3 linked regions of the Saccharomyces cerevisiae S288C genome follow. The gene in region 1 interacts genetically with each later gene. Each region holds a gene or a part of one and is shown in the gene's direction. Other genes may lie near its edges.

The links. A genetic interaction does not mean that the proteins touch.
Region 2: mutations in YPR159C-A (region 1) and DDR48 together harm fitness more than expected from each alone (negative genetic interaction), as found in Saccharomyces cerevisiae (one large-scale study listed by BioGRID).
Region 3: mutations in YPR159C-A (region 1) and DSF2 together harm fitness more than expected from each alone (negative genetic interaction), as found in Saccharomyces cerevisiae (one large-scale study listed by BioGRID).

Annotation. Positions count from the first base shown.
Region 1 is NC_001148.4:858,339-863,766, reverse strand, and holds YPR159C-A (uncharacterized protein), read left to right. Parts: upstream 1-3,351; coding exon 3,352-3,453; downstream 3,454-5,428. Other genes in the region: GPH1 (glycogen phosphorylase), read right to left, coding at 1-2,461; beta-glucan synthesis-associated protein KRE6, read right to left, coding at 4,022-5,428.
Region 2 is NC_001145.3:605,846-610,481, forward strand, and holds DDR48 (DNA damage-responsive protein 48), read left to right. Parts: upstream 1-2,843; coding exon 2,844-4,136; downstream 4,137-4,636. Other genes in the region: HOT1 (Hot1p), read left to right, coding at 136-2,295; PAI3 (Pai3p), read right to left, coding at 4,314-4,520. UniProt on the Saccharomyces cerevisiae protein: DNA damage-responsive protein that may be required for maintaining the rate of spontaneous mutagenesis. Shows low ATP and GTP hydrolysis activity.
Region 3 is NC_001134.8:248,306-254,110, reverse strand, and holds DSF2 (Dsf2p), read left to right. Parts: upstream 1-3,094; coding exon 3,095-5,305; downstream 5,306-5,805. Other genes in the region: FLR1 (Flr1p), read left to right, coding at 1-1,548; UGA2 (succinate-semialdehyde dehydrogenase (NAD(P)(+))), read right to left, coding at 5,608-5,805.

The DNA of each region.
Region 1 (5,428 bases):
GAGAAAATTGTCCACTTTCAATGTAGGATAAAACAGAATCCAAACTAGATGGTAAATCTTGTGGATGGTATTGATGGTTGTATCTCAATTCTTCGACATTTTCACTTAGGTTACCAAACAAGAAGACATTATCTTCACCAATTTCCCTTGTGATTTCCACATTGGCACCATCAACAGTACCAATAATCAAACCACCGTTCATAACAAACTTCATATTAGAAGTACCAGACGCTTCAGTACCAGCAGTAGAAATATGCTCACTCAAGTCACTTGCTGGAATAATGATTTCAGCCTTAGAAACATTATAATCAGCAACAAAGACAACCTTCAACAAATGCTCAATTGACTCGTCGTTATTAACAATGTCAGCAACACAGTTGATCAATTTTATGATCAGCTTAGCCATGTAGTAACCAGGAGCACTCTTACCACCAAAGATTGAAACCTTGCGTGGATATTTCTTGGCAACTTCTTCGATCGAAGCACCGTTCTTCAGCATATTCTTCATTGCCAGGTAACGGTATATAATACCAAAGACGTTTAGCTGTTGACGCTTATATTCATGAATACGTTTAACTTGCATATCAAACAAGGTGTCGTCCAAATACTCTCTGTTAATGATGTCTACTCCATCATTTTCCTTTTTGATTAAATCTACTAATCTGATCTTATTATTAAGCTTGACTTGGTTCCATTTTTTCAAAAACTCCTTATCTTCAACATATTTTCCCAACTGGGTCAGTTTGGCCATGTCCAACAAATACTCCTCTGTTGGATCGTTAAGGGTTTCACTGATCAGTTTAGCCAATGAAGGGTTAGCTTGCTTCAACCATCTCCTTGGTGTGATACCGTTAGTGACATTGACAAACTTTGATGGACCATAGAACTTGACAAAATCTTTAAATATGGTCGTTTTGATTAATTCAGAGTGCAATTCAGCAACACCATTAACCTTGTGTGAACCAACAATAGCCAAAAAGGCCATTCTGATCTGTCTTTCTGGAGAGTTTTCTTCGATGATGGATATACGAGACAAAAGATCAACATCCTTGGGGAATTTTTTGGCCACATCTTGCAAGAAGAACCAGTTGATATCATATATAATTTCCAAATGTCTGGGTAGCAAATGGCCAAAGAGGCCGACGGGCCATTTTTCCAGGGCCTCTTGCATAACAGTGTGGTTAGTATAAGCAAAAGTCTTGGTCACGATGTCCCAAGCCTCGTGCCAATCTAGTTTTTCTAGATCGACCAAAACTCTCTGTAATTCAACGATGGCTAAAGTTGGATGAGTATCATTCAACTGAATAGCCACTTGGTCAGGAAATTCAGTCCATGGCCTCTTGGATTTTTTGAATCTTCTTAAGATGTCGTGTAAGGATGCAGCACACCAGAAGTACTGCTGTTTCAACCTCAACTCCTTACCTTGAGCAAAGTTATCGTTTGGATACAACACAGCGGTTATAGACTCTGCGCGTTGTTGCTGAGCCACAGAGTTTTTATAGTCACCATTATTGAATTTTGCAAAATCAAATTCTGTTGTTGGCCTTGCTTGCCATAGTCTTAAGTTATTTACATTGGAAGTCTTGAAACCCGGAACTGGGAAATCATACGCGACAGCAAGAACTCTTTCCCCACCGATCCATTGTGACGCACTCAGTGTAGTTTTACCGCCTTCTGGTCTATCAACATAACCATAAAAGGTGACAGGAATTTGCACTTCGTTACGTTCAATTTCCCATGGATTACCAGAATTTAACCAGTAATCTGGAGTTTCCACCTGGTAACCGTCAATAATCTTTTGAGCAAAGATACCATACTCATAACGTAGACCATAACCCCAGGCAGGGATGCCTTCCGTTGCCATTGAGTCGACGAAGCAAGCTGCAAGACGACCTAGACCACCATTACCTAAACCTGCGTCCGGTTCTTGGTCCAAGACATCCTCTAACTTGAAACCTAAATCATCCAAAGCCCCTTTAATCATTTCTCTTGGTTTTCCCTTTGAGGCAGCAGGGTCTTCCGGATCTTCAATCTTCATATTAATCAGGGCATTATCCAAAGCCCTACCCATCAAAAACTCCAAAGACAAATAGTAAACTCTCTTTGGGTCTCTTGTGGTGAATTTCTGCTGAGTTTTGTTCCAGTCAATGACCAAATTGTCACGAATACTCATCGAAGCAGCTTCATAAGCAGCCATGTCATCACAATTATATAGGGAACGTGCTAATGTAGTTTCCACATGGTCAATGAATCTATCTTGAAAATCTTCTGCCTTGTTAAATTTTTTGACTTGATGCTTATTCCATAACGCTCTTGACTTTAAAGGAATCATCGTGTCAATTGACTTGATTTCTTGGGGAAGAAACCCCGTAAGTCTCCTTGTAAGCCTTGGGATTTGGTGTGGAGAAGTAGGTTCTTCGGTTATCATATCATTGGTAGTACTAGTACTAGCTGGCGGCATTGTTCAAAATTAAATTAAGTTGAAAGCTGCTTTACTGAAATTGTAATGTAGAGAAGTCAAAAAAGATCCAATTGTTTTTCTTTTGGATATTTTTAGTAATCGTTACCTTCTCAATCTGTGCTTACTTTATATTACAATAGCAAGCAGAAAAAACTTATAATACTTCGTACGTAATCAAAACAAAAGGTACAACAAGAAACGGGAAGGCACAAAGAATCTTGCTTTACTGCTATACAAACTTCATGCTCCTTTTATACATATAATATATTCGTCGGTGTTCCTTCCTTATCTTTGTAGCATGCACATGGTAGTTATTAACCTCCCCTGAAACTTTTTTAGCGAAAATTATCCACCCCTTACTTATTTCCTCGAGAGTCTCTAAAAAGTAAAAATACAATAACGGTAATTGGGGAAGGCGTTCCTTGTTAATTCAAAATGTTATCCTTGAAACATAGAAGGTGCTGGCTGCATCTCGCAGAGCTTCCTCTTCCGTTGAGCGTTGTATTCTTCCCCCCACAGTGCTACTAGGCGATGCCGCTACCCCTTGAAGGGCCTTCCCGCTGTGGGGCAGCGGCCTTTTTTCCTTAGTGGGAAACAAGCACCGGGGTATATTTCATTGTCTATCAGGAGAAGAGATCGTATACAAATGTTCGTGAGACGGTTTCATCTTGACTAGTTGCCTTGCTAGTCGGATAACTAGTGGAAAGCAGTAGGACACTCCCGATGAGTTTGCGTTTCCACGGGGTTTGACAGAGCTACCTATTGTCTTTTTCATCGAAGGAAACGGTAGTTGGACCTTGCCTTGGATAAGTTGGTGAATCATCCAGAGCTTTAGAAGGGAGCAAAAAATAAAATCTGCGCAAGCCCGGAATCGAACCGGGGGCCCAACGATGGCAACGTTGGATTTTACCACTAAACCACTTGCGCTTGTTATTTACATGAGTGTGGTACTTCTATTGATGGTAGGTGTTCCATTACTTTTTTCGTCTTAAGATGAGCGAGCAAACACAGGGAGAAAATAAAGCGCAATTATTTACCTCATAGGGTACACAATATCCGTGAGAAAAGGATGAATTTGAAATAATTATACAGACTCCTTTTTTTTCAACGTAAAATTATAAGCATAGATTAGAGGCGCTCCTGGATAATAATAGGAACACACACAAGTAAATCAGCAATTTCTCATATCGTACTTATTCGGTAGAGTTAATAATATTCTACTAAAATAACTACTGGTAAGTAGTGAGAGCTTGATTTTTGTACTAATAACTTGTTTCAAAAAAAAAAACGAATAATCAGTTTTACAAAAATGTGTATACCTATATAAACAATCTTAGAGGTAAAGTTCTCCCTCACTAAAAATAATAAAAAATTACGTGCAGATGAGAACCCCGTCTTACCTTAGTATACCTTTAGTTCCCTTTATGACCCGATTTGAACGATAAGTCTTTTATATTTTATTTCTTCCTAAAAGAAAAATGTATGCATTGTAAGTAACTTTTTATGACCATGGTAATAATTAAAGCCGAGGGCTTGTAGATTTACCATCAAAATACCCGCTTAAGAGGATAACTTGAACTTCGAGCTAGTACATTTACCAGTTAGGATATTCTTAGGGAACGTGTAACCAGCATCTTCCCAAGTAGTTAAGTTTGCATTCTGGAATGCATTTAAGTGCGATTGAATATAATCATATGTTGGATAGTCACTTGGATCGCATGTCACGGATATAGCATTACTTGGTTGGTATATTCTAACATAGTCAATCGACATAACCACTGGGAAGAAAATATACTGCCAATCAATATAAGCCCAATTGTTGGAAATACCCAGATTTAGAATAATCGACATTGGTTCTTTACTGATTCTTCTCCAACCAATATTACCATCAGGATGTAAGGCTTTAGCATGAATAGTATAAGTTGGAGTATCACCAACAAACCAACGGATATAACCATTGTCGTCATCGTTCAGATACTCAATGGCATATTTTTGAAAGTAGCCACCGTACTCACCGAATTCATACCAAGTTACGTTCAAAGTTGAGACAGCAGATACGGCTTGTTGAAATGGACCGCCAGCATAAGTGTTCATGGTCGTTGTTGTGAAATTGTAAACCTCGATAAAATCATAGTCAGGCATGTACCAGATATCAAAAGGTGCAATTTGCAAGGATTGAGAGGCTATACCTACACCAATCTTAGTATCAGTTTCACCTTCCAAAACATCAATTTCTGGAGCTCCTCTACCAACACCTTGATTCGGATGATCTTCACCATCACAAGTACAAATACTTAACTTTTGTCCCGGCAAGTAAGAAATACCATCCGGGGAACTTTGGTTGGGTGTAATACCAGCATCACACGATTCATAAGAATAAGGCCAGACACCTTGGGTACTAGCCAAATAACCGGGCCTCCCTAAATTACCCATAGTCCAAAGACCGGGCCACAAACCTGAAACACGGCCATAATTTGGTAGATTTGCAGAGATTTCTAGAGCACCCTGCGTGAAACAAACCTTATTCCAACTCTGCAACATACCTGATCTGTAATATAAGCCATGGTTCTTAAAGGCATCCATTCTCAGCTGCAAGGTTCCGTTCACAGTTGTGGAAGCGTCTGGACTGTACCATTCTAAATCCTTAGTAGCATCATAGTGAACATCAGGGGCTGTCCAGTATGGATCATCCCCATCATAAAATGTTCTGCCTTCTGCATTAAACTCATCAGAAAATACTAATTCCCACTTAGAGCCATCCATAGCTTCTCTTGTCTTCGCTGTATCAGGTGTGTCTGGGTCAACCAGAGATGTTCTAATGGCGGATAGTTGAGGATATTGGTATTGAGTTAAATATGTAACTTCTTCAGTGTTGCTTTCGTGATCAATAGCACCGGTAAAGGTCAACGCTGGCAAAACAATAAAAATAAAGATGGCTGCCAGAAACAAGAGCAATACACCAGCTAG
Region 2 (4,636 bases), on another chromosome or scaffold:
CGAAGAAAAAAATAAAAAAAAAGGGCCGACGGAGGGTTAGGTCAAATTAAATATTGAGCTAGGTTTAGTTATCTCTTTTTTAGGTTTTTTATATACAAAAAAGATTATATTTAGGGTACATATGGCTGGAGCATAATGTCTGGAATGGGTATTGCGATTCTTTGCATCGTACGTACAAAGATTTATAGGATAACCATCAGCTTCGATTATTCTACACTGATGAGCCCTTTCTTCTTATTCTTAATGATGCCCACTACATTAAAGGATGGGTACAGGATGAATAGTCAAGTAAATGAAGATGCTATAGGTATCAATCTTGACCTCTCACTGCCCACTCACATTTCGCCTACGACTGGTTCAGAGAGCGCCAGTGGCAGTAACGCCAGTACACTTCGCAACGATGGAAATGCACTAGATGGAGGTCTTTTGAGGACTTCAGCAGCGATTTCAGCACCCACAGGTACCAGTCAACCAACAGAAACTATTGGTGAAAAACTGAGTAATGAAGAGCGGGTGAACTCGAATGTTTCCGCTTCGAACTCGACAACGGCGGGTACAGGGCGTATGTTAAGCCAATCCTTGACTAATGATTCACCGTCGAACGAAATATCGACGGATCAGTTGAAGATTTTTCAAAGAATGGACGAAATGAGTGCCCGAATGATTGAGATGGAGGAAAGCTTCAACAAGTTATCTAATAAGATCGCGGAACAGAATACAATGGTTTTAAACCTAAAACAAGATAACTATAAAGTTATGAACAAATTGAATATATTACTTAAGTTGGTTGCGCAGCCAAGCGCGCGCCCAAGCACAAACAATGCCCAAAATAAGCTTGCTATCGAATTGCTAAATTCGATATCAGCCGTTAGTAGTGCTTACTTGCAGAAAATGCAGAATAATGGCTCTGGTAGACAGCATACTGCTGATTTATGTACAGGAGATTCCAACACCCATTCTGGTATCAACCAGCATCGGACTACGAATGGAACCATAGATGTGAATACGAATACTGCACAGCTAAACAACCAATTTTCTAACGCACTAAATACTATCTTACCTGATCAGCAGCATAATCGAAATAATGTTTCCCAAAATATAAACCAATCGCTCCCTAACCGACAACTTGGTCCTGTTATAAACACACAAGCCAATCAGAACCAGTCGCAGGTTTTAATTCATAACACAAATACACATCAGCAGGTAAATCGCTCGCCTATTAGTTTCCCGAACGCTTCAACTGACAAGCCATTCAAGTTGAACCCAAATGGGATTAAACGGCGCAGAAGAAATACGCAAAGTAACAACAATGCGAGCACAAATGACCATGCTAGTGCTGCACAAAAGCCCATATCAGCCCTATCTCCATTAACGAATTCTCATAATTCTACAACTAGCATGAATTATACCAATTCTTCCATTCATTCAGGCGTCACCAGTGCTTCAAATTCATTTCATGACTTAAATTCATTGAATAACTTTGGCACGACAACAGCTTTAAGTTTGCCCAGCTTAGCCCTAGATAACGCTTCTTTTCCCCCAAATCAAAATGTTATACCCCCTATTATAAATAATACCCAGCAGCCTCTATCATTTTCCCAATTGATCAATCAGGATAGCACGACATCTGAATTGTTACCGAGTGGTAAGTCAGGGGTGAACACGAATATTGTAAATAGAAACAGAGCTTCTACTCTACCGTCGTACCCAAAACCAATGACAGTGAAAAGTAATGTCGACGATGATGGCTATCAAGAGGATGATGATGATGACGGTGATGACGAAGGTGATGGAAGGGATAATGAAGAAGACAGCACTGCTGAGGAAGATGAAGTAGATGATGAAATCGAAACAGATATGAAGAACGCTTCGATTAACAAGCGGAGGAGGAGCTTGCATCATAAAAAAAGTAACTCTTTAAACGGTAGAAGAAAGCTTCACGGCGAGTCGGCTACTAAGCCCAACATAAACTCTGATTTACATTATAGGATATTGAAGGCTCCCACTGACGTAAAGACTATATGGGAAGAGTATGATACTGGAATAAGAGGAAAGCCATCGATCAAGCATCTTGAGGCCAAGTATGGTAACAAGTGGAGGCTCAATAAAAATAAGAAGACCTTTTCAAGGCGAAAAAGATTGTACAAGTTCATTCTGAACGGTATGGAGAGAGGTAAAACGGCACAAGAGATGATAGAAACCTTAGAGAACAAAAGGCTATATAAAGATGATGAGGATGGCGAAGTAAAGAAAAGAACCATTGGCTGGTTGCAAGAGAGCCTTGCTGGAATATAGGCACGTACGATAGTAAATAATCGTTTACAATCATAGGAAGGAAGGAAAAAACAAGTGTAACATAAATACATTCTGTAAATCTACAAAAATCGTTAGTGCTGTTTTCTTTTTGAGATTGAAAAGTACGAATCATACACATCTCTTATTCTGAGAAGGGTGCATATGACGTAAATCAATGCGTACAAAGCGGTTTCCGGTGCTGGCCTGGCCCACCACAGTTTTGGCGTGGTTGATTTTAAAAACCTTCGGGAAGGTGAAAAAACCACTCCGAAGGTTCGAGGATGACAAATCGCCCCTTAGCTGTGGCCATACAAGCTTGGCACCGACGAAAAAGGGAAAAAGGAAAAGAATGTCGTACAAGAACTCTTACAACCACGTTGAGATTTCATTTAACAACGCCCCCCTTTCCATTATATAAGAAGGCATTAATTTTTATGTAATAAAAAAAGAATTTCTCGAAAATGTCTTACAATTAATTTTTTCTTTTGTAGAGTAGGGCTTTAATAGACTGATATATACGGTATTATAAGTGAACGAAAAAAACAGCAATGGGTTTATTTGATAAAGTGAAGCAATTTGCTAACAGCAATAATAACAACAATGATTCTGGCAATAACAATCAAGGCGATTATGTTACCAAAGCTGAGAATATGATCGGCGAAGATAGAGTCAATCAATTCAAAAGCAAAATCGGAGAGGACAGATTTGATAAGATGGAGTCCAAGGTTCGTCAACAATTTTCTAATACCTCTATAAATGACAACGACTCCAACAACAACGACTCATATGGTTCTAATAACAACGATTCATATGGTTCTAACAACAATGATTCATATGGCTCTAACAACAATGATTCATATGGCTCCAACAACAATGATTCATATGGCTCTAACAACGATGATTCCTACGGTTCTTCCAACAAGAAGAAGAGCTCTTATGGTTCTAACAATGACGATTCGTACGGCTCCAGCAACAACAATGACTCTTACGGTTCCAACAACAATGACTCTTACGGTTCCAACAACAATGACTCTTACGGTTCCAACAATGACGACTCTTACGGTTCGTCAAACAAGAATAAGAGCTCTTACGGTTCCAACAATGACGATTCTTATGGCTCTAACAATGATGATTCATATGGTTCTTCCAACAAGAAGAAGAGTTCTTATGGTTCCAGCAACAACGATTCGTATGGTTCTAACAACGATGATTCATATGGTTCTAACAACAATGATTCATATGGCTCTAACAACGATGATTCCTACGGTTCTTCCAACAAGAAGAAGAGCTCTTATGGTTCTAACAATGACGATTCGTACGGCTCCAGCAACAACAATGACTCTTACGGTTCCAACAATGACGACTCTTACGGTTCGTCAAACAAGAATAAGAGCTCTTACGGTTCTTCTAGCAACGATGATTCTTACGGATCTTCCAATAACGACGACTCTTACGGTTCTTCCAACAAGAAGAAGAGTTCTTATGGTTCCAACAATGACGATTCTTATGGCTCTAACAATGATGATTCATATGGTTCTTCCAACAAGAAGAAGAGTTCTTATGGTTCCAGCAACAACGATTCGTATGGTTCTAACAACGATGATTCCTACGGTTCTTCTAACAAAAAGAAGAGTTCTTATGGTTCCAACAACGATGATTCATACGGCTCCAGCAACAACAATGACTCTTACGGTTCCAACAATGACGACTCTTACGGTTCCTCTAATAGAAACAAGAACTCCTATGGGTCTTCCAACTACGGTTCATCCAACAATGATGACTCTTATGGTTCATCTAATAGAGGCGGTCGTAATCAATACGGTGGTGACGACGATTACTAAGTTTTTGGATGTCTTCGATAAAAAAAATATATTATTGTGTTTAGACTTAAGTATGAAAATTTTATGTATGAGCTGTGGCTATGTATCCGCTGGCAAATAGGTCTGCTTTTTCTACACTTTCCACCCTCAACCTAACAGAGCCCGCTGGCACAAATAATCGATAGTAGGACAACAGAGCTACTCCTTCTTATGCCCCGCCCCTTTGAGCTTGTTGTATTGCTCTTGATAGTTGTGTTTTTCACTTTCATCAGCATCGGTAGTCTTGCCGTCCTTGTCTTGACTAGCCATTTTCTTAAAAGCGTCACTCACTACCTTTGCATCGCCCTGCAATTTTTCCTTTGAGCTCTGAAATATTTCGCTCACTTTTTGTTGGTCTGTATTCATTCTGGATGTCTTGGTTGTAGAAATTTCTTTTATTGGTTCATTAAAGTCAAGGTAAATGGCGAGAACTAGAATAGAGTTTTATTCTTTTTACCGTTATATAGATAATTCTAGCCGGG
Region 3 (5,805 bases), on another chromosome or scaffold:
GATGAAACAAGAAAACCCGAGAATACCGATAAAAAAGAATGTAAACCCGACTATGATATAGAATGCGGTCCTAATAGATCGTGCTCTGAATCCTCTACCGATTCAGACTCTAGTGGTTCACAGATCGAAAAAAATGATCCTTTCAGGGTGGATTGGAACGGCCCCAGTGATCCTGAGAACCCACAAAACTGGCCCCTACTGAAAAAATCATTGGTAGTATTCCAAATAATGTTACTTACTTGCGTCACGTACATGGGATCCTCCATTTACACACCTGGCCAGGAATATATTCAAGAAGAGTTCCACGTTGGTCATGTAGTGGCAACATTAAATCTTTCTTTATATGTTCTTGGTTATGGTCTAGGTCCCATCATTTTTTCACCGCTATCAGAAACTGCACGCTATGGCCGTCTAAATCTGTACATGGTGACTTTATTTTTTTTCATGATCTTTCAAGTTGGTTGTGCTACTGTGCATAACATCGGCGGTTTAATCGTCATGCGTTTCATCAGTGGCATACTGTGCAGCCCATCGTTGGCCACTGGTGGCGGTACAGTGGCTGATATCATTTCACCAGAAATGGTTCCTCTCGTTTTAGGTATGTGGTCAGCCGGTGCTGTTGCTGCGCCAGTCTTGGCTCCCTTACTAGGCGCTGCTATGGTCGATGCTAAAAATTGGCGATTCATATTTTGGTTATTAATGTGGTTAAGTGCTGCCACTTTTATCTTGTTGGCATTTTTCTTCCCTGAAACACAACACCATAATATTTTGTACCGCCGTGCTTTGAAATTGAGAAAAGAAACTGGTGATGACAGGTACTATACTGAACAGGATAAACTCGATAGAGAAGTTGATGCAAGAACTTTTTTGATCAATACTTTGTATAGGCCTCTCAAAATGATTATCAAAGAGCCTGCAATTTTGGCTTTTGATCTCTATATCGCTGTTGCTTATGGTTGTTTCTACTTATTCTTTGAAGCATTCCCTATTGTATTTGTAGGTATATACCACTTCAGCTTAGTTGAAGTTGGCTTGGCCTATATGGGGTTTTGCGTAGGGTGCGTACTTGCTTATGGCTTATTCGGTATTTTAAACATGAGGATTATTGTACCACGTTTTAGAAACGGCACATTCACCCCGGAAGCTTTTTTAATCGTGGCAATGTGTGTCTGCTGGTGCCTGCCTCTGTCTTTGTTCTTATTTGGTTGGACTGCTCGAGTGCATTGGATTTTGCCAGTTATCTCGGAAGTTTTTTTTGTTTTAGCTGTCTTTAACATTTTCCAAGCAACTTTTGCATATTTGGCTACATGCTACCCAAAGTATGTTGCATCCGTTTTTGCAGGCAATGGTTTTTGTCGGGCTTCGTTTGCCTGTGCTTTTCCGTTGTTTGGTAGAGCAATGTATGACAATTTAGCTACTAAGAACTATCCTGTGGCATGGGGTTCGTCCTTAGTGGGGTTCCTAACTTTAGGTCTAGCTATTATCCCGTTTATACTTTATAAGTATGGGCCATCATTACGTACAAGATCTTCGTACACAGAGGAGTAGAAAGCCGATGTTCTTACCATGAAAATTTGAATTATAATAACACAATTTTACTTATCGTCCATCTGTCGACAAAGATGTTCCACATAAGTTTACGTAAAGTTTAGCAGTGAAATAAATACTGTTCATAATGAACTTCATTGTTTATAAAAGTTGTTGTTGCAAGTATTCTCATGTTTATTTATCGCAGACTTGAAATCTTTGAAGGAAGATCTAAGGTCTACACACTATCGGTTACTTTGTGACCCTTTGCTTACCATACGGATGAAAAAAGAAAGAGGAATTACTTGAGCCACAATATCCTTCACTCATATTTGAAAATAGTACTTACTAAAGAAATATGCAACCATTTATACACGTAAGAAGTTCAATTATCAAATAGAAATTAAGCAAAATACTCAATTGAATACAGAGCAAAAGGATTAGCCATACGTTCTAGCACATTTTATGGGCCTAAGACATCATTTCCAGTTAACAGATAATATATTTCTACATAAAAACTTGGCTGTTCCACTGTCAAAGCCAAAAAGAGTCATTTGGTCATGAGAGTAGCTATGTTTCTACGACGAATCGAAAAAAAATGCATACTATTGATATCAAAATCATGCAGAAGGAACACATATTCATATATAACTAATCAGAGGATAAATCCTCTTGCGAATAAAAAGTTTGCGATGTTCTGATGCTTCAGGATTTCCTCTTAATAAATTCATATTTGAAGAGCCAAAGAACCAAAAGAATTGTACAAATTTTCTTCATCTATGAGAGGCCTAAAGGTTCGGGTTTGCTGCTATGTATCCTTGCTAAATTTTGATTATATTATGGCATTTATCGCTATTGCGTTTGCTTGCTGTTGCGCAAAAAATAATACAAAATACCTGATAATGTAAACAACGTAAATAATACAGGAAGTGATGCAAGAGAAGCTGCACAAAACTGCAGCATGCCTCACTTCGAAAAAAAAAAAAAAAAGAAGGAAGTCAGAAGAAGCAAGCCGATCTAAGACAGCTATTACCTCTAACAAGTAAGTCATAGATCAGAACGGCAATACCAGCCAGTGTACAATACAGCTGCATTACAACATAGCGTTTCTTGAACTTTTAGGTGACTGCTGGAAAAAATGAACGCGTCTCATATCGTGTGCGATGGCAACACCGGATCCCTGCGCTCAGAACATTCCGTGGACACCCACTGTCACTTCTTCGAGCCCCACCATTCCTTTACGCAGCCTGCGTGTGTTTCTGCGCGTTAAAACAATTATCACAGAAGGCTCCGGACGAAGAGCGGCAGAAAGAACAACGGTGCAACCGTCGTTGAATTTGATTATCAAATCACCTTATCTGCCATCGTGTTCTAGTAGTCTTCCATTGTATTACCACGGACATTCAAAAATAGTTCTTCTTTAGCAACTCTTTTTTTCTGTTGCCATTGCTCTTTGCGATAGCACATTCTGTTCCTCAATGCTAAATATAGGTGGAACTTGTAGGAGCCTCGAGAAAAAACAGAAAATCTAGAAAAACAAACGGACTTTTACGTCACACGAAAAGTAATGAATCAAAATTTAAAAAACACTTCTTGGGCTGATCGAATAGGAAGCGACGATCAAGAAAGAAAAGCTAACTCTTCAGAGGTTTCACAAAGCCCACCACCCAATAATAGCTTCGAGTCATCAATGGATTCACAATTTAGCTATGCTCATTCAAATAAAAGTAGCATTTCATTCGAATCTATTCAAACCACGGAAAGACTTCTTGACAAATTAGACCTCAGCTTGGAAGATGAACTGATTCTGCAAGAAGCTTTATTAGAAGAAGAAAACGCGTCGAGAAATTCGCAACTGTCACAAACAAGTGGTCCAACATTATGTATGCCTGCGTCGGAATTCCCTTCATTAAGGTATAGAACTAATCCCTCTCCAACATATATACAAGCTAGAGATCGTTCTCTTATCATAGACAATTTAAAAGAAAAGGATTCCACTTTGAGAGGCAAATACTCTTCCGGTAAAGTGGAAAGGCATTTGCCCGTGAAGTCGAGATACTCTTATATCGTCGAAGAAGATTATGACTCTGAGACTTTTAGTGGCATGAAACCCCAAATGAATAGAAATGAGAAAGATTATAAGTACCCAAACCTTGAAAATGGCAATAGAAGCACAAATAGCCCTAATCCTTTCAACTTCGAGAAATATAGGATTGAAAATACTAGACTGCACCATCTTTATCCTACGCTGATATCAGACAATAATACTAGCGTTGACAATAATGCTAATAGTAAGAATAACAGAACTACTAGTAATAATATTAATACATCTACAAAAACTGACAGAATATCCGAGAAGCAGAGTTGCCCCAATGAGTTCACAACCACGCAAAAGAGTAATTGTCTTTATCGGAACGGAAGTTCAACAAGCACCAACACCTCCTTTTCTGAAGTTGGACAACTATCAAAGCCGAAAACTCAGTCTTCTTTTGAAAGTGAATCATCCTCATTCTCCAAACTCAAGTTAACTAAGAGTGATACAACACCCATCAAACCATCTCCTAAACGGTCTAATTCCTCTACCTCGACGATAACGAAAACAAATACCATGACAAATGATATTTCATTACCTCCAACGCCACCATATAAAGCTCATAAAAAAAAAACGTCACTAAATTCGCTAAAAAAACTTTTTAAATCTCCTAGGACAAGAGCAAAAAATAAGAAAGACCTTGAGTCTGAAGGATCAAGCCCTATCCGGTCTGCCACCAATTCATTGGACTTCTCTGGGGAGAATATTCAACTTCCATCTACTTCAAGTACCATTAATAATTCCAGTCCACATTTAGCTAGGTATATTTTTCCTCCAAACCCAGTTTTCCATTTTAAAACAGCATCAACACCTCAGTCATCCACGGATAAAAAAAAGAACAGTAAAGCACGTCCAAATAGGACTCATTTGAGAACTTTCTCGGATTTCCATACAACGGAAAAAGATTCAAAAATAGGTGAACTAAGTGCACTAACAGAACAATCAAATAAGCCCTACCACCCGAAAGTTAGAAGAAGAACACTTTCTTTAGATGGTATGTTGCCCAATAATTCGACGCAATGCATGGATTCCTTCAGTCATAAAAAAGAAGGATCGAACGCAACAAGCAAGTGCGGGAAGCTTAAATTTCACCCAGAACCTTATGATAATGATGAATCTTCACACATCGGACAGGCAATTACTATGCGTCATCAAGGCAAACTTGAAGAATCTGCACAACGACTGAAAAAAGCCTGCGCGTGCGGAAACAAAACTGCGTTTCTGTTATATGGACTAGCCCTGCGACATGGCTGCGGAGTGGACAAGAACTTGAAATTATCATTAGGATATTTAATGGCTGCCACTGATATCAAATCCTTTGCTGCTGAGGTTCTTGATTTAGATATAAATCCGTTAAATTTTGCTTCAATGGACGATATCCCTGATATAGCGCCTGAACCAACAGCACCTGCCTTGTACGAATGTGGTATGGCATATTTAAAGGGTCTTGGGATGGATCATCCCGACGAGCGAAAAGGTTTGAAATTTTTGGAAAAAGCTGCTCTATTAGGCCATGTAGACTCAATGTGCTTAAGCGGGACAATTTGGTCCAAAACTTCAAACGTAAAGAAAAGGGATCTCGCCAGAGCTGCTGCATGGTTTAGGATAGCCGATAAAAAAGGTGCAAATCTATTAGGTTCAGATTGGATTTATAAGGAAAAGTACATGAAACAAGGTCCGAAATAAAGATAAAGAAACGTTGTATACATAAAAGCTTACAGAAAGGCTTAAAAGGAAAGGCATTTATTTTCGTACCATATATCTCACAAAAATAGATAGATAGATAGATATGATATTTTATGAATGGTATCACTTATTCCGCTTGTGAAAAACTTCAAAACTCCGTAAATATATGAACTCTTTTCTTTCAAAAAATTTACTTAACTTTCTATATACGAGGAGTAGAGTATTTATACATGCAATAGATATATACAATCATTACAAAGAATCATATTCAATTCTAAGTATCGTCCACGATTACTATTGCTTTAAATGCTGTTTGGCAAATTCCCAATTGTGATGGTCTTCAAAACAGTGTAATCTTCAATACCATATAGCGAACCTTCTCTTCCAAATCCTGACTCTTTAACACCACCAAATGGTATAGAACAATCCGAAAAAACACCTGTATTACATGAAACCATACCAGTTTCCAAAGCTTCAGACACAGTGTATAAAGTGTTGAC